2 linked regions of the Mytilus edulis genome follow. The protein of the gene in region 1 interacts with the protein of each later gene in a pairwise test. Links are inferred from orthologs where the notes say so. Each region holds a gene or a part of one and is shown on either strand. Other genes may lie near its edges.

Region 1 (7,662 bases):
TGGTAGCGTGAGCCCTGAAAATCAACTGTTTTTTTAAATCTTCCAAATAATATATAGGGAAATGACATCAGTATTTTAATAACATTGTTCAATTTTGTTGTAAAATATAACAATGGGGCTTTAAAATTTTTACATTTAATGCAAAAAATCTAACTGTCAAATACTAGTAGTCAAATTAATATTCAAGAGCTTTACCTAGCTCAAAGTGACATCAATAAAATTAATATTATTCTGAAAGGCTTGAATAAGTTTACTATTATTGCATGGTAAGGGGCAATTACAATATATACCAATTATGTCACTTTTCATATCAAAGTTTTAACATACCAGGCCATACTACTTTTTTCTATGGAAATTTGGTCATTCTATATATATATCTACATAAAGCCGAAAAATGAGTAGAGAGATTGCCTGTTTACTTTGTGAGCTGTACAACTAATATAATGAACCATCTTCCTGTTTCTCCCCATGCTCTCTGTGCTGCCATCTCTAGAAAAACTTCTGCATACTGTAAAACTGTTAAAAATCTTTTCCATCTTTCTACTGGAACAGACTGAAATAAGAAAGAGCATACTTGTACATGTAAAACATTGATTTAATAGTTTAGCATTTACAAAAGTCAGTCATTTACTTTGCATAAACTTGAAAGTTGTAAACATATGACACTGTTTGACTCAGATTTATACATCCAATATCTGTCCAAAATTATTTTTTTTTCTCAATCTGGCCAAAAAAAATGGTATGTGTGTTTCATATTGCATCTTTAATAAAAATAGGGAAGATAGCTATAGGTCATGTAGGTAGGGATTTTTTTTTTTATTTTACCATTTGTTTTTACATTGAGTCTAAAGGAGAGGCATTCTGAACAGTGCGTATTAAAAAAATGGAAAAAAACAACAACTTAAGGGTAAGCTATTTCTTTAGCTTAAAAATATGGAGGGTAGGGTAATAAGAAAACCACATCTTTTTTTATTTGGCCTATAAGACTAGGATGTTATTCGCTACTTCTCAGTATTCAACTATGACGACCAACCACAACTTACTTCTAAAATCTTGATGAAGTAGTTAGTTACAATTTGACTAAATGATAAATACCAGTATAAAAAATTATATTCGATTAATTGTTTAGTTGGAAGCCCAGAGTGGACAGCATGTTTTGCTCTGGTTTGTGATACTTTCATTGGTTATTGAAGATAAAATGTATTACTTTGACATCACAGATTTTAATTGCTTGTTCAAATTCAGTATTACTATTAGCTTCAACTTTAAACATTAATATAAATACAAATGTACATGTTGAATATAAATTTGACAGACTTACTATGTTTTTTAAAACTTTGGCTGTCTGTCTGAAGATGGTATCATTTAGTAAAATCAGTAAATTGGATGCCAAGTAGACAAGCTCTGACAAAACCTGGGAATCTTCAAATCTACCTGAAAGACAAAAAGACTTAATTGGTTAAAAATGTATAAAAGACATGAAAGAGATCATAAATGACTATTTTTAACCTAATCACATTTAGGTGACTTTTTATTGTTCTATTTGGCATTTTAAGTGTCTGTCTCTTTTCATTCATCAAATGTTCATACATACACATATCTGATTCCATACATACATGCATTTATTATGTAAAAGTCCCCCAAAAAGAAAGGTTGCCCAGTAGCAACTATCAGATTTGGACCACACCAACTTACACTTCAATTCAGCCGATTAAGAGAGGGGCCCTCCCCCCTTTTTTGGAAAAAAATTGGTTGCTTATATAGTGAATCACTGAAGCATGACAATAGCAAGCCCCCTCTTAGGCAGTCAGTGTGCCCCCACTTATGAAATTTCTAGATCCGCCAGTGGTTGTTGTTCCAGTATTTTTTATGTTGGTAAAATTATCTTTCTACTGTTTCTTTTTAAAGCCCTCACAATTAATGCATGTAAAATAATTGATCTTAGTTCAAAAACAGTTTCAATGGTTCCAGGATCATCCTACGAACATGATGAATGTGACTTATAAGATATTTTTTGTTTGTGGGGGTTAAAATATGATTGTAGGTCTATTTTCCATATGCAAAGTGACCTTAGAGTGACCCCTCATAAAAATCAGGTGATGGCAATACGCATGGATCTGTCACTGAAATAAACTATTATCTTATTGTACATGTTAAACATGTTTCCATTATCCATGCTTCTTTGTTGATTGTTTACTATAAGGTGACAATCGGTAAACTTTGGCTTCAAAAACGACAAGTAATGAGCAGCTATATTTTCACATCATAACAAACAGAGAGAAAAAAAATGACAATTATACGATACATAATGTCATTTGTATAAATGATAAAATCATGCACAGAAGTAGTCCAAATAATTATGACGTCTTGAAAGGCTATTCTAATTTTTTTCTCTGACGCCGAAGGAAGGCGTCAAAGAAAAAAATTATAATAGCCTTTCAAGACGTCATAATTATTTGGACTAGCACAGAAGACTAACATGACTAAGTTGATGATATATACATGCATGGGTTCAAGAATTGGATAAATATTAATTTTCACCAATCTGATTAAATCACTCGTTTCAGATGACTTTAAAGTTGGAAACCAAGAAATGTAACAATGATAAAATCTGAACCATGACCTTTGGCTTGTTTAAAAAAAAAGCAGAATCATTCAATAAGAGTATTGTTTCATCCCTATTTTTAAGATGATATATATGAGAAGAATAAACCATTAAATAAATTATGTATGCATGATGTTGCCTATCAAAGAGGATTTTGTTGATCATATGAAACTGAAAGTAGGATTAAAATCTGAGTTATCCACCCCTTTTTAAGATTTCTTGTAAACATTCTTCATTAACAAGATATTTTACCTGCTATAACATATGACACAACTTTGAATGTGGATTCTAGTTGACTGACAGTTTCGGGATTTTCCCTCACTATCTTCTGATAGCGTTCCCATACTTCTCTCACAAAATCTGATGCAGCTGAGGCCATGGTCAACACAAATATTGGCAAAATGAATCTGAATACCAAAAAGTATGATCTTTTTATTAAAAAAATGTTAAATTTTCAATGTCTTGGCATCAACTGTAAGGTAAACGAATTGTTATAAAAATAGAAAGCATCTATAAAAGAGAATGACAGCTGTGTTTATAGACGGTAAAAAACTATAACCGTTTCGTCTTTTTTTTTGGTGATTGGTGATTTTCTTTTTACTGGTTACCTGTTTGTTGTTTTCCTTCTCCTTTGCCATAAATCTCAGAAAGAAGGTCCAGTTGAAAATACATTGAAAAAAAGTTATCTATAATTTTTCATAATGAACACATAGGTTTTATAAAGGTATTGAAACTGTAATCTAATCCTACAAAATTGAAGCCACTATGTACAGTAGAATATATTTGTATCTGCAAAGTTCTTCTTTATACGTTTTTTTTTGCAAAATGAATCACATTTGAAATTTTTGATTTTGTTATTCGACAGTTCGAGCGAAACATTTTCTAGGTTCTAAAATATTAATTCTCTATACCATTTCCCTTCTGTAGCATCAGTACAAGTTTCACATTTGTTTATGTGTAATAATCTAAGGGACAAAATTACATATGCAATACATATAGAAGACGAAAAACATTTTATCTTGCATTGCACAAAATTTTTGTGCAATATTATATCACAGGAGGTTGAAATCCTATCAATGAGGGTCTATAATTATGTCAACTCGACTATCACAGTAGAGCTTCTCTCGTAGAGAGAAGCGAAGAGAAGCTCTACTGTGATAGTCGAGTTGACATATTTATAGACCCTCATTGATAGGATTTCAACCTCCTGTGATTATATGAATCACAAAGAAATGTTCTTATATCAAAATTGTCCAAATTTAAAAATTATGACAAACAATCTAAAACTGAGGATGAATATATCAAACTATTACTTAATAACAAGTGTAGAAAAACACTTTGATTAATATCATCTTTTATTAATCAATCATTTGAATTAAGGAAAAATGTACTTATAAAGCTACAGTACGCCCAGAGAGTATGTAATCGCAAACTCTAATCACGGATTTCCGAGTGTAGCGGTGTGACACGGCGAATCAGGGATTATACTCCCAATTTCCTCCAAAGATTCTCTCCCAACACCGCGTGGCTGTTTATTGGTTTATTGCCCATCGGATGTACTGAAAATTAATGACGCGTGACAACATCATCGGATTAGCCAGATTTATTACCTTTGTAATAAGTTCAAGTTCAAGTTCAACTACGCACTGTTGATCACTGAGATGCGTATCGTCTTCCCACGGCAATTAATTGCTTTAAAAATATTTAAAGATCACTGTTCTAAATACAACACAAAAGTTTACATTCATTGTGCGTAAATAAATATTATGCAACGACGAGTTGATGCAGCTATAGAAGTATTCCTGTTGTAGCCGAAATGTATTATTTATCCTAAAGTAAAGCTAACAAATCGTGAAGAGAAAATGCTGTAGACTTATTAAGCATAAAGAATGGTGAAAAGTATTTTCTTTTTTTCTTGCATATACAAGTTTTAAGACACGTAATTTTCTTTCTTTCTCACATTTTATACCTTCAGCGTTAATTTCCGTTTATTTTCACGCAAGTATGTCTCTTTTCGTAAGTTATATAAATTACCGATAAAAAAAAACCCGAGGTCATAATCAAGTATAGATTTTTTTTTTATAAAACTTTAATGCAATTGAAAGCATTTAATAACAACAACCTTTTCCTTTTTAAAACTTTTATTTTGTAATTGTAAAATGGAAATGGCTTACTTATTAGCATAACAGATAGTGAATAATATTTTCATTTTTACTTGTATAAAAAACTTTGAGACGTGTCACTTTTCTTTAAACTACCCTAATTTATTCAGCGTTAGTCTCCATTTATTGTTACACAATTATATCTCTTTTAGTAAATTAAATAGTTATTTACTGATAAAAAATGGAAGTCAAAATCAAATATAGTTGTTTTTAAAAATTGATTTAGATGTACAGAGTAATTAAAAGAATTAACAACGTTTTTATTTTTATTTTAATCTTTCATTTGTTTCAAGCAATCAGATATAAACTGATAATCAATAGACAGGAAATACAATTGTTTAATTACATTAGAAATCTGGCATACCTTGACTGTCGCGTGCCGGCATAGATCAGAAGGATTAGGGCAATTAATTACCTGGTGTGACACCGCGTCACTCCAGACTGGGAGAGATGTCGCTAATACAATAAACAAAAGGTAACAGATTTACGCGGAAGTCGGAGGGAATACTCCCAAATTTCTCCGAGAATTTAGGGAGTGATGTCGGAGTTTCCTGGTGTCACACCAGGAAAAAACTCGGTGTATGGAGTTTGGGATGGCTTTCGCGAAAATTGTACTGTATAACATACAATATACTTATGTCAGTAGTCTATTCTTACAAATTAACCTATATATATTGATATTTATAACTGCACATTTCATTGTTCGAAATGTGCAAAATGATATGCTATGTAGTATTGTTTAATTGCTGCATCATTACTATTAGTATACTAGTTGTATGGGCCGTTGCCAATTATTGTAATTGAGTGTGTGCCAATAAATAAATATTTGTAAAATAAATATTTGTATCCAGATAATAACATTAGTATAAGTACATTTGGAAATAGAAATTAATAAAATTTTAATACAATGTTTATAACCTAAAAAGGAAGTTTGGGATTGATTTTGTGGGTTATGTTCCCTAAGGTTTAGGAAATTGTACACCATTGTTTAATACCATAAGTAGAAGGTTGGGATATATTTTAAGGGTTATGGGGCAAACAGTCTAGGAATAAAGGGCCAAAAAGGGGCCAAAAACAATAATTTTTGTAGTTTCAAGACAATAAATTGGAGTTATCTTTCTTTAGCCAGAATGGTATTTGAATCAACAACAACAACAACAACAACAACAACAATACTTTATTTTAAGAGGGTTACACAGTTAGCTATATAACTAATCTTCCCTGAGGCCCTCGTAATGAAAAATCAAACAAAACACAAACATATACTAGTACATTGCATACATACATTAGCATAAAAAGTCAAGTGTGATAATAATGTTCAATACAACTTGATAAAATGTGATGAAAAAATAAACATGATGACATGATCAGTTTTTTATATTATTTATACAGTTAGGTTGATTTCAATAAATGATCTGCTATTTTGTATTTGAAAGAATTAATATTTGTAATATTTCTTAACTGTATTGGCAAATTATTCCACAAGTATGGTCCAGAATACATAAAAGATTTTTTGAATAATTCTGTTTTTGGTTTAGGGAGTATGAGGTTTCCTTGAACAGCATTTCTCAAGGGGTACGGATTTCTGTCTGAAACATAATGAAACTTGTTAGTAAGATATGATGGGGCATCATTATTAATACACTTAAATGTCATCACTAACTTATGATATTTTATTCTCTGTTCAACTGTCATCCAGTTTAAGTGTTTGAATAAGGGTGCAGAAGGAGCGAATGGGTCTGTTTCTAGTATTAATCTAGCAGCCCTCTTTTGTAATTTTAATATCCTTTTTAAACCCTCACTGCTACAACTACTCCACACTATACAACAATAATCAATAAGTGGCAAGATATAACCATTATAGAATAATTTTCTGCAGTCTAGATTTAGAAATTTTTTAATCTTTAATAGTAGATATAGTCTAGATGATATTTTTGAGCAGATCAAGTCAATTTGGGTTGTCCATGTGAGGGAAGGGTCAATTTTAATGCCTAAAAGACTTTCGCATGTGGAAGATTGTATCACTTGATTGTTAATAGTTAAACAACTCTCATTGTAATGTGGCATTGCTCTTTGCTTCGTTCCAATAATCATATATTTTGTTTTATTTTTATTGATGAACATATTGTTATCATTGCACCATGCCTCTACACCATGTAAATCTTCTTGTACCTTTGACTGAAGAGTTTGATAACAATTACCAGAAAGATGTAAGGTTGAATCATCGGCATATAAATCAGTGCAACAATTTTTCATATAAATAGGAAGGTCGTTGATGTATAATATAAACAGAAGGGGGCCTAATATGGAGCCTTGGGGAACACCATACTTGATATGAAGTTTTTCAGAATGAGCATTACCAATTTGTACTTGTTGAGTTCTTTCATTCAAATACGATTGAAAAAAAGAAACAGCAGTATTATCAAATCCATAAATTTCAAGTTTTTTACAGAGGATATCATGATCTACTACATCAAAAGCTTTCTTAAAATCCAACAGGACTGCTAAGTTGATATTACCATCATTCATATCCTGTATCCATTTATCTATGATATTGATAAGGGCAGTTTGGCAAGAGTGTTCTTGTCGAAACCCAGACTGTGCTGGGTGTAAAAGATCTAATCTTTTAAGATAGTCAAACAAATGTTTTGAAACATGCTTTTCTAAAAGTTTTGATAAAACTGGAAGTACAGAAATTGGTCTATAATTTGTTGCCATGAATTTTTCACCAGCTTTAAAAACAGGGGTTACTCTTGCATTCTTTAAAACACAGGGAAATGTACTTGTATCTATTATTCTGTTAAAAATGTAAGTTAAAGATGAAGTTATGACAACTTAAACCAATGCTTTATGAAATCTTTGAAAATTGGAGTTATCTTTCTTTGTCAAGAATAA
Region 2 (6,917 bases), on another chromosome or scaffold:
ACTCGTTGACTACAGCATCGGAAAGATATCACCAATAACCAGCAAAAAAAAAAGTAGTGGAAAAGAATGGCCAATAAAAAATTTCGGGTCGCAGTGATTTTACCGGGTCGGTCAGGGGAGGGGAAACAAACAATATTTTATTTTTGGCCTAGAGGTGTTTGCCTGTATCCCTACTGTTTTAAAATTCATCAAGCGTTTTTCTCATCGTCATTATGCAAAATAATTTGTTCAATATAGTATTATCATTTGTTCAACCAATAACTCTAAGTGATGATGCCCCTAAACACATGAATGTGGTTCACTAAAACCAAAGGTTTTGACAGGATGCAACGAACACACAAGTTGTCTATTGCTCTTCCTCTGGGCCCAGAAATCAGGACGAGCTTTAATTTTTAAGACATGAAATGTCATGACATTATTTACCATTGCTAAGGCTTAGTAACTATGGTATTATATGAGGATGAAAGTCCCCTAGGCCTAATACAGTAGAAAAATAAATAAATAAAAAAAATTAAAAAATTGGGAAAATTTCCCGAAATTTTCATTGTACTAATGAACTCAAAATCGTTCAAATTTTTTTTGTCGCTTTATTTAATTCCAGCAGAACGCAGAAATCAACTTCCTTCTTCCGGTCTCTTTGTCGTGAGACTTTGAGTAGTCTAGTACATCTACATCTACGACATATAGGAACTCAAGGAACACAATACCAATATTTCATTTATAATAATTCTTCGTCTTTGATATGAATTAACGTTACCTGATGCATTGCATTTCTTTGTTCACATTGAACATGACATCATAACTTAAATAACGTCACAAGTAAAATCCCTAACAACAGAACCAAAATCGGAAACGTTACGGTATTTCCGTTTCTTTTTTTGAACACATATGTAAGTTACAAACAAAATAATTCATACAGACTTCGTCCCCATTCACAGGTAATGCCTGCCTCATATTAGTATAAAATGACACAGTAAAAATCAGAGGCTTTTATCAAAATATTAGTCCGAGATTACTCTGACGTCCAACGGCTGTTTTGCCAGACAAGCTGGGGCCGTGGGACGTCAGAGCTCGTCCCATATCAAAAAGTGGATATTTGCCCACCCAAAATAGATGCGCTGCTTCGTCGCTTCTGGTGCCGACTGACGGCCTTGGAATTATATAAATCGGGCATCAATCTGTTCATTTTTCATTTATCTTTTCATTTATGTAAGTTTCACCTACCTGCCAACCTTTATTTTTCCATATTTTAACAGTTTTCACAGAGACCCATCGATTTCTGCATTTTGCCTTTCATTTTCAAAGATTATCACGTGACCACGAGAAAACAGTGATGATTTATGCAAATGACCATAATGTAACACCTCGTTCATTTACGATGCAAGTTATCTAAATGTCCGAGAGCTTCCGATTGTAACGTGGTCAGAACTAAATGCTTAATACTGATCTCCTGTAAAGGAGGTGAAAAATCGTGGTTGGCTACTAAATGTTAAACATCGATCTCCTACAAAATTTGCATATTTGAGTCTCGAGGCCACAAACTCTCTCGTAACTTGACGTCCATTTGAAAGTGAAAGTCAAAATGCAGAAATCGATGGATCTCTGTGAAAACTGTTAAAATATGGAAAAATAAAAGTTGGCAGGTAGGTGAAACTTACATAAATGAAAAGATAAATGAAAAATGAAAGGATTGATGCCCGATTTATATAATTCCAAGGCCGTTAGTCGGCACCAGAAGCGACGAAGCAGCGCATCTATTTTGGGTGGGCAAATATCCACTTTTTGATATGGGACGAGCTCTGACGTCCCACGGCCCAAGCTTGTCTGGAAAAACAGCCGTTGGACGTCAGCAGTGATATTGTTTGGCTCAAATAACAGCCGAAATTCGGCCTTTTCCCCTAGAGAAAATTCCCAATTACTGAAAAAAATGGCTTAAAATTCCTCCCAAAAAGTTTTACATTTTCCCCAAACAGTGATGGCATTGGTAGTAATGTTTGTAAATATCGTATTCATGTTATCATTTTGATATTAGAAAGCACTTTTGAGATCCGGTTTTCTGATCAGAATCATCATGGTGTTTGTAACACATGTAGTTTTCAATGCATTGTAAGTACCATCATTGCTTCTGTTTCTTTCCCCTCTCCGAAAGTATCTTTCAGGTTGAAAATGTCTGACAACCAAAACATACATGAAAAAAACAGTGCAAAAAGACAGCAAAGGTCAGGAAAAAATCGGAGATGTGTTCAGAATAAAATATACAAATTTCCCAATTTCAATAAAAAATATGCATTTTTCCCAATAAAAAACGGTAGAGGTAGTTTTGAAAAAAGACAACAATATCACTGGTCAGAGTAAGGGAGCTACCATTTGATTTTTATGGGGGGGCTAGGATGAAATTTGAAAAAAATAGGCAGGACAGGAGTTTAGAGTAAAAAAAAAGGCAGGATGAGACACTTGCAAAAAAAAAAAGTCAGGACGACAATTAAGGTAAAAAAAAGTGAGGATCAACTAAAAAAAAAAGGCAGGACCGAACAGAGTGAAAAATAAAAAGGCAGGACAGAGATTACAGCTAAAAAAAAATGCAGGACAAAATTTTTCATCCTAGCCCCCCCATAAAAATTAAATGGTAGCTCCCTAATCTCGGACTATCAAAATATGTGTTTGTGCAGACAGGGGTTTGTTACAATTGCCGGGTTTACTATCCATACGAACCCCTAGTTTTTTGGGGGTTCGTATGGATAGTAAGCCCGGCCATTGTAAGAAACCCATGTGGGTTATGATGGAATTAACAAAATTGTTTACCTCCGGCAAGAATGCCTCCAAATATAAATTTTCGTTTATGACGCTTTATAAAATTCCACAAACTACCGATTCCTAACATCTTCTTAATTAAAGAAATGTCTTGCCACTGATTTATCACTAGATTTGTTCAAAATTCGTTCGTTCTGACTTCGTGCTCTGCTTCGTGATCAAAATCCAATTTTTCTTTTCGATGTAAAGCACGAACTTTATTTCATATTGAAGTTTCATGTGATTAAAGCACTGTAGTGATTTTATTTTATAATAATTAGTACATACTTCAATGTCGGGTACGGAAATGTTTCGTTTCCGATTTGTTTTATCGTTTCCCTTGAAATGTATAGATATACAAGTTCAGACCAATCTTCCAAATTAAAGATAACTAAACAGCCACATGTTACTATCAATTTAAATCAACTTTTCATATGTAATAGAAACAAAAAGTTATGTTGATATTTATTTTACTTTTACTGAACTGTAATGTTGTTTGTATATCATATCTCTAGTGGCATTTTTATAGATCTTATATCAAGGATCCCGGATCCCGCTTACTGTTACACTATGTACGTAAGCAATTCTCATTTTTTTGTCATTTCCCAGGTCCCGCTAGACCTCATTTCCCGTTTTCACGACACAATAATTTGACTTTCACGTGTCACGCTTACAAAAAATCAGCAATCCCGTGTCACGCTTAGACCCCAATGAGACCCACATTGAGTCATTATGATTTTGTGAAATTATAGTGAAGACCATTAGACTTCTTCTATGAACACTAGTCAATTTCTTTTATTGAGAAGTTGGTCCCAAAGCCTGAATCCTCTAAACTGGTAAAAATATGCCTTTTAAAATCTATTCTATACTTTTTATTCTGCGATCAGTTATAATGTTGGTTATTTGTAAATCATATTTAGACACATTTTTTGTAAATCTTGTTGTGATGATAATATTTGCTGTTTATAGTTTGTATCTACCTACAAAAGTCTGACACGTACATTATTCAGACAACTGTTTTTGATCATATTTGATATTTCTTGTTTTTTAAAGTTTCTTTCTTTCCACCATATTTTTTGACTACTGGTATTTAAAATGTGTAAAAGTCATCTCTATGGAGAAATTAATTGAAGAAGATTTGATTGACAAATTTCTGACATGTTATTGAAGATTTTATTTTGCTGAACATAAACTGGTGCTTTTAAAAATTTAGGTTTTCAGAGGGATTAACCTAGCAAATTATTCATAACTCTATATCTAGTATTGATTTTTAACAAATACTAGATGCTCATCAACTGACATTAGTTGTCTTTTTAACATCACAAACTGTGTAAAAATCATGTCATGTAAATCTATTGACACAGTTGGATCAAAGAAGCAAACTATGCATGGGTTGTCTTTGTTCAAAACTGTAAATAAGGTTCCCATGATATCCAAAGTGGTGTGCCAGATTGTAAAACTGAACAATCAAAGAAATCATGGAAAAGAAGTCAAACCAGTGATACATGTGCACATTACAACGATTCTCTGGACCAAAATAGTTTATCTTCAACTTGATCATACTTAAAGAAGAACAAAATTACAACTTACAACCAGATGCTCCGCAGGGCGTAGCTTTATACGACCGCAGAGGTTGAACCCTGAACGGTTAGGGCAAGTATGGACACAACATTCAAGCTGGATTCAGCTCTAAATTTGGATTGTGATTAAATAGTTGACACAGCATAGGTTTCTGACACAGAATGAATGTGTTCTAATGAACTTAAAATTTTTGTTTCTCTTAGAGCAATTCACTATGCTGTTGAATATTAATCCTCTCAAAAAAATGTTTGAAGAAATTTTCTTTTTTATTTATGAAATTTCAAATGAGAAAAATTGAACCCAATTTTTTTAATCACATCCCCCTTTCCCTTATTCCAAAACTAATCTCAATTAAAATTTCTAATGGAGTTTGCAACAATAACTACTCATTTAAATACATCATAAAATATTAAGATGTAAAAAAACTGCTTGTTATCACTGAATGGTAAAGATTATTTTAATTTATCAGTTGGTAGTAAAAAGTGAATATACATTGTATATTGTATATAACAAAGATTTAAGTTGATTCTGGACAAAGAAAGATAACTCCAATTAAAAAAAAATCTTGCTATTGCACAATATTTTGCAATTAGATATTTCTTGCTTACTATTCTGGACAAAGAAAGATAACTCTAATTAATTTTTTTTTTGATATTTCACAATATTGTGCAATTAGATATTTCTTGCCATTGCGCAATACTGTGCAATTGAAAAGACTTGCTATTGCACAATACTTAATATAATAATTTTAGATCCTGATTTGGACCAACTTGAAAACTGGGCCCATAATAAAAAATCTAAGTACATTTTTGAATTCAGCATATCAAAGAACTTCAAGATTTCAATTTTTGTTAAAATCAGACTAAGTTTAATTTTGGACCCTTTGGACTTTAGTGTAGACCAATTTGAAAACAGGACCAAAAATGAAGAATCTACATACACAGTTAGATTTGGTATATCAAAGAACCGCATTTATTCAATTTTTGATGAAATCAAACAAAGTTTAATTTTGGACCCCGATTTGGACCAACTTGAAAACTGGGCCAATAATCAAGAATCTAGATACATTTTTAGATTCAGCATATCAAAGAACCTAACTGATTCATTTTTTGTCAAAATCAAACTAAGTTTAATTTTGGACCCTTTGGACCTTAATGTAGACCAATTTGAAAACGGGACCAAAAGTTAAGAATCTACATACACAGTCATGACAGTTAGATTCAGCATATCATAGAACCCCAATTATTCAATTTTGATGAAATCAAACAAAAGTTTAATTTTGGACCCTTTGGGCCCCTTATTATGTTGGGACCAAAACTCCCAAAATCAAACCCAACCTTTCTTTTATGGTCATAAACCTTGTGTTTAAATTTCATAGATTTCTATTTACTTATACTAACGTTATTGTGCGAAAACCAAGAAAAATGCTTATTTGGGTCCCTTTTTGGCCCCTAATTCCTAAACTGTTGGGACCTAAACTCCCAAAATCAATACCAACCTTCCTTTTGTAGTCATTAACATTGTGTTTAAATTTCATTGATTTCTATTTACTTAAACTAATGTTATTGTGCGAAAACCAAGAATAATGCTTATTTGGGCCCTTTTTTGGCCCCTAATTCCTAAACTGTTGAGACCAAAACTCCCAAAATCAATCCCAACCGTTCTTTTGTGGTCATAAACCTTGTGTCAAAATTTCATAGATTTCTATTAACTTAAACTAAAGTTATAGTGCGAAAACCAAGAAAATGCTTATTTGGGCCCTTTTTGGCCCCTAATTCCTAAAATGTTGGGACCAAAACTCCCAAAATCAATACCAACCTTCCTTTTGTGGTCATAAACCTTGTGTTAAAATTTCATAGATTTCCATTCACTTTTACTAAAGTTAGAGTGCGAAAACTAAAAGTATTCGGACGCCGGACGACGACGACGACGACGACGACGACGCTGATAGCAATATACGACGAAAATTTTTTCAAAATTTGCGGTCGTATAAAAACAAATGACTCGAAAGTAAATCAAACATTATTTGCATAATGTGCTCTTGCTTAGTCATGTTATCTTTAAACATTGGAGCATTTCTTGCCCTTATTGGAATTCGGTTTTGAAAGAAAGTTCCTGGTAGTTATGAATCATTTATTCAAAACTAATCATAGCACTACAGAGTTTAGTATACGGTATAACAACTAATCATTTGTTGAGACCAATTGTTTGACTGCTAATAATACGTGTGTGTATTTGTTGTGATATATCTCATTGACCTTTTCATAATTTTCCTTTAAACCAATGTGTGTAAAAATTGTTTCTTTTACTGACATAAGTATCATGAATGAAGTCATTTCTCCTTTACATTAGTATATAGATTAGACTGTGATTTTTCTGTTTGAATGGTTTTACATTAGTAATTTTGGGGGCCCTTTATAGCTTGCTGTTCGGTGTGAGCCAAGCCTCCATGTCGAAGGCCGTACCTTGACCTATAATGGTTTATAAATTGTTACTTGGATGGAGAGTTGTCTCATTGGCACTTATACCACATCTTCCTATATCTA

The links. The genes of interacting proteins can lie anywhere in the genome.
Region 2: the proteins of peroxisomal membrane protein PEX16-like (region 1) and peroxisomal biogenesis factor 3-like interact in binary tests that used the Homo sapiens proteins (3 or more experiments, as listed by UniProt). The link is inferred for Mytilus edulis from reciprocal best matches to the Homo sapiens genes PEX16 and PEX3.

What each region holds. Positions count from the first base shown.
Region 1 is NC_092350.1:35,241,107-35,248,768, reverse strand, and holds the start of peroxisomal membrane protein PEX16-like, read right to left. Parts: upstream 3,026-7,662; 5' UTR 2,985-3,025; coding exon 2,858-2,984; intron 1,435-2,857; coding exon 1,322-1,434; intron 554-1,321; coding exon 420-553; intron 1-419. UniProt on the Homo sapiens protein: Required for peroxisome membrane biogenesis. May play a role in early stages of peroxisome assembly. Can recruit other peroxisomal proteins, such as PEX3 and PMP34, to de novo peroxisomes derived from the endoplasmic reticulum (ER).
Region 2 is NC_092344.1:15,640,962-15,647,878, forward strand, and holds the start of peroxisomal biogenesis factor 3-like, read right to left. Parts: upstream 3,025-6,917; 5' UTR 2,882-3,024; coding exon 2,803-2,881; intron 1-2,802. UniProt on the Homo sapiens protein: Involved in peroxisome biosynthesis and integrity. Assembles membrane vesicles before the matrix proteins are translocated. As a docking factor for PEX19, is necessary for the import of peroxisomal membrane proteins in the peroxisomes.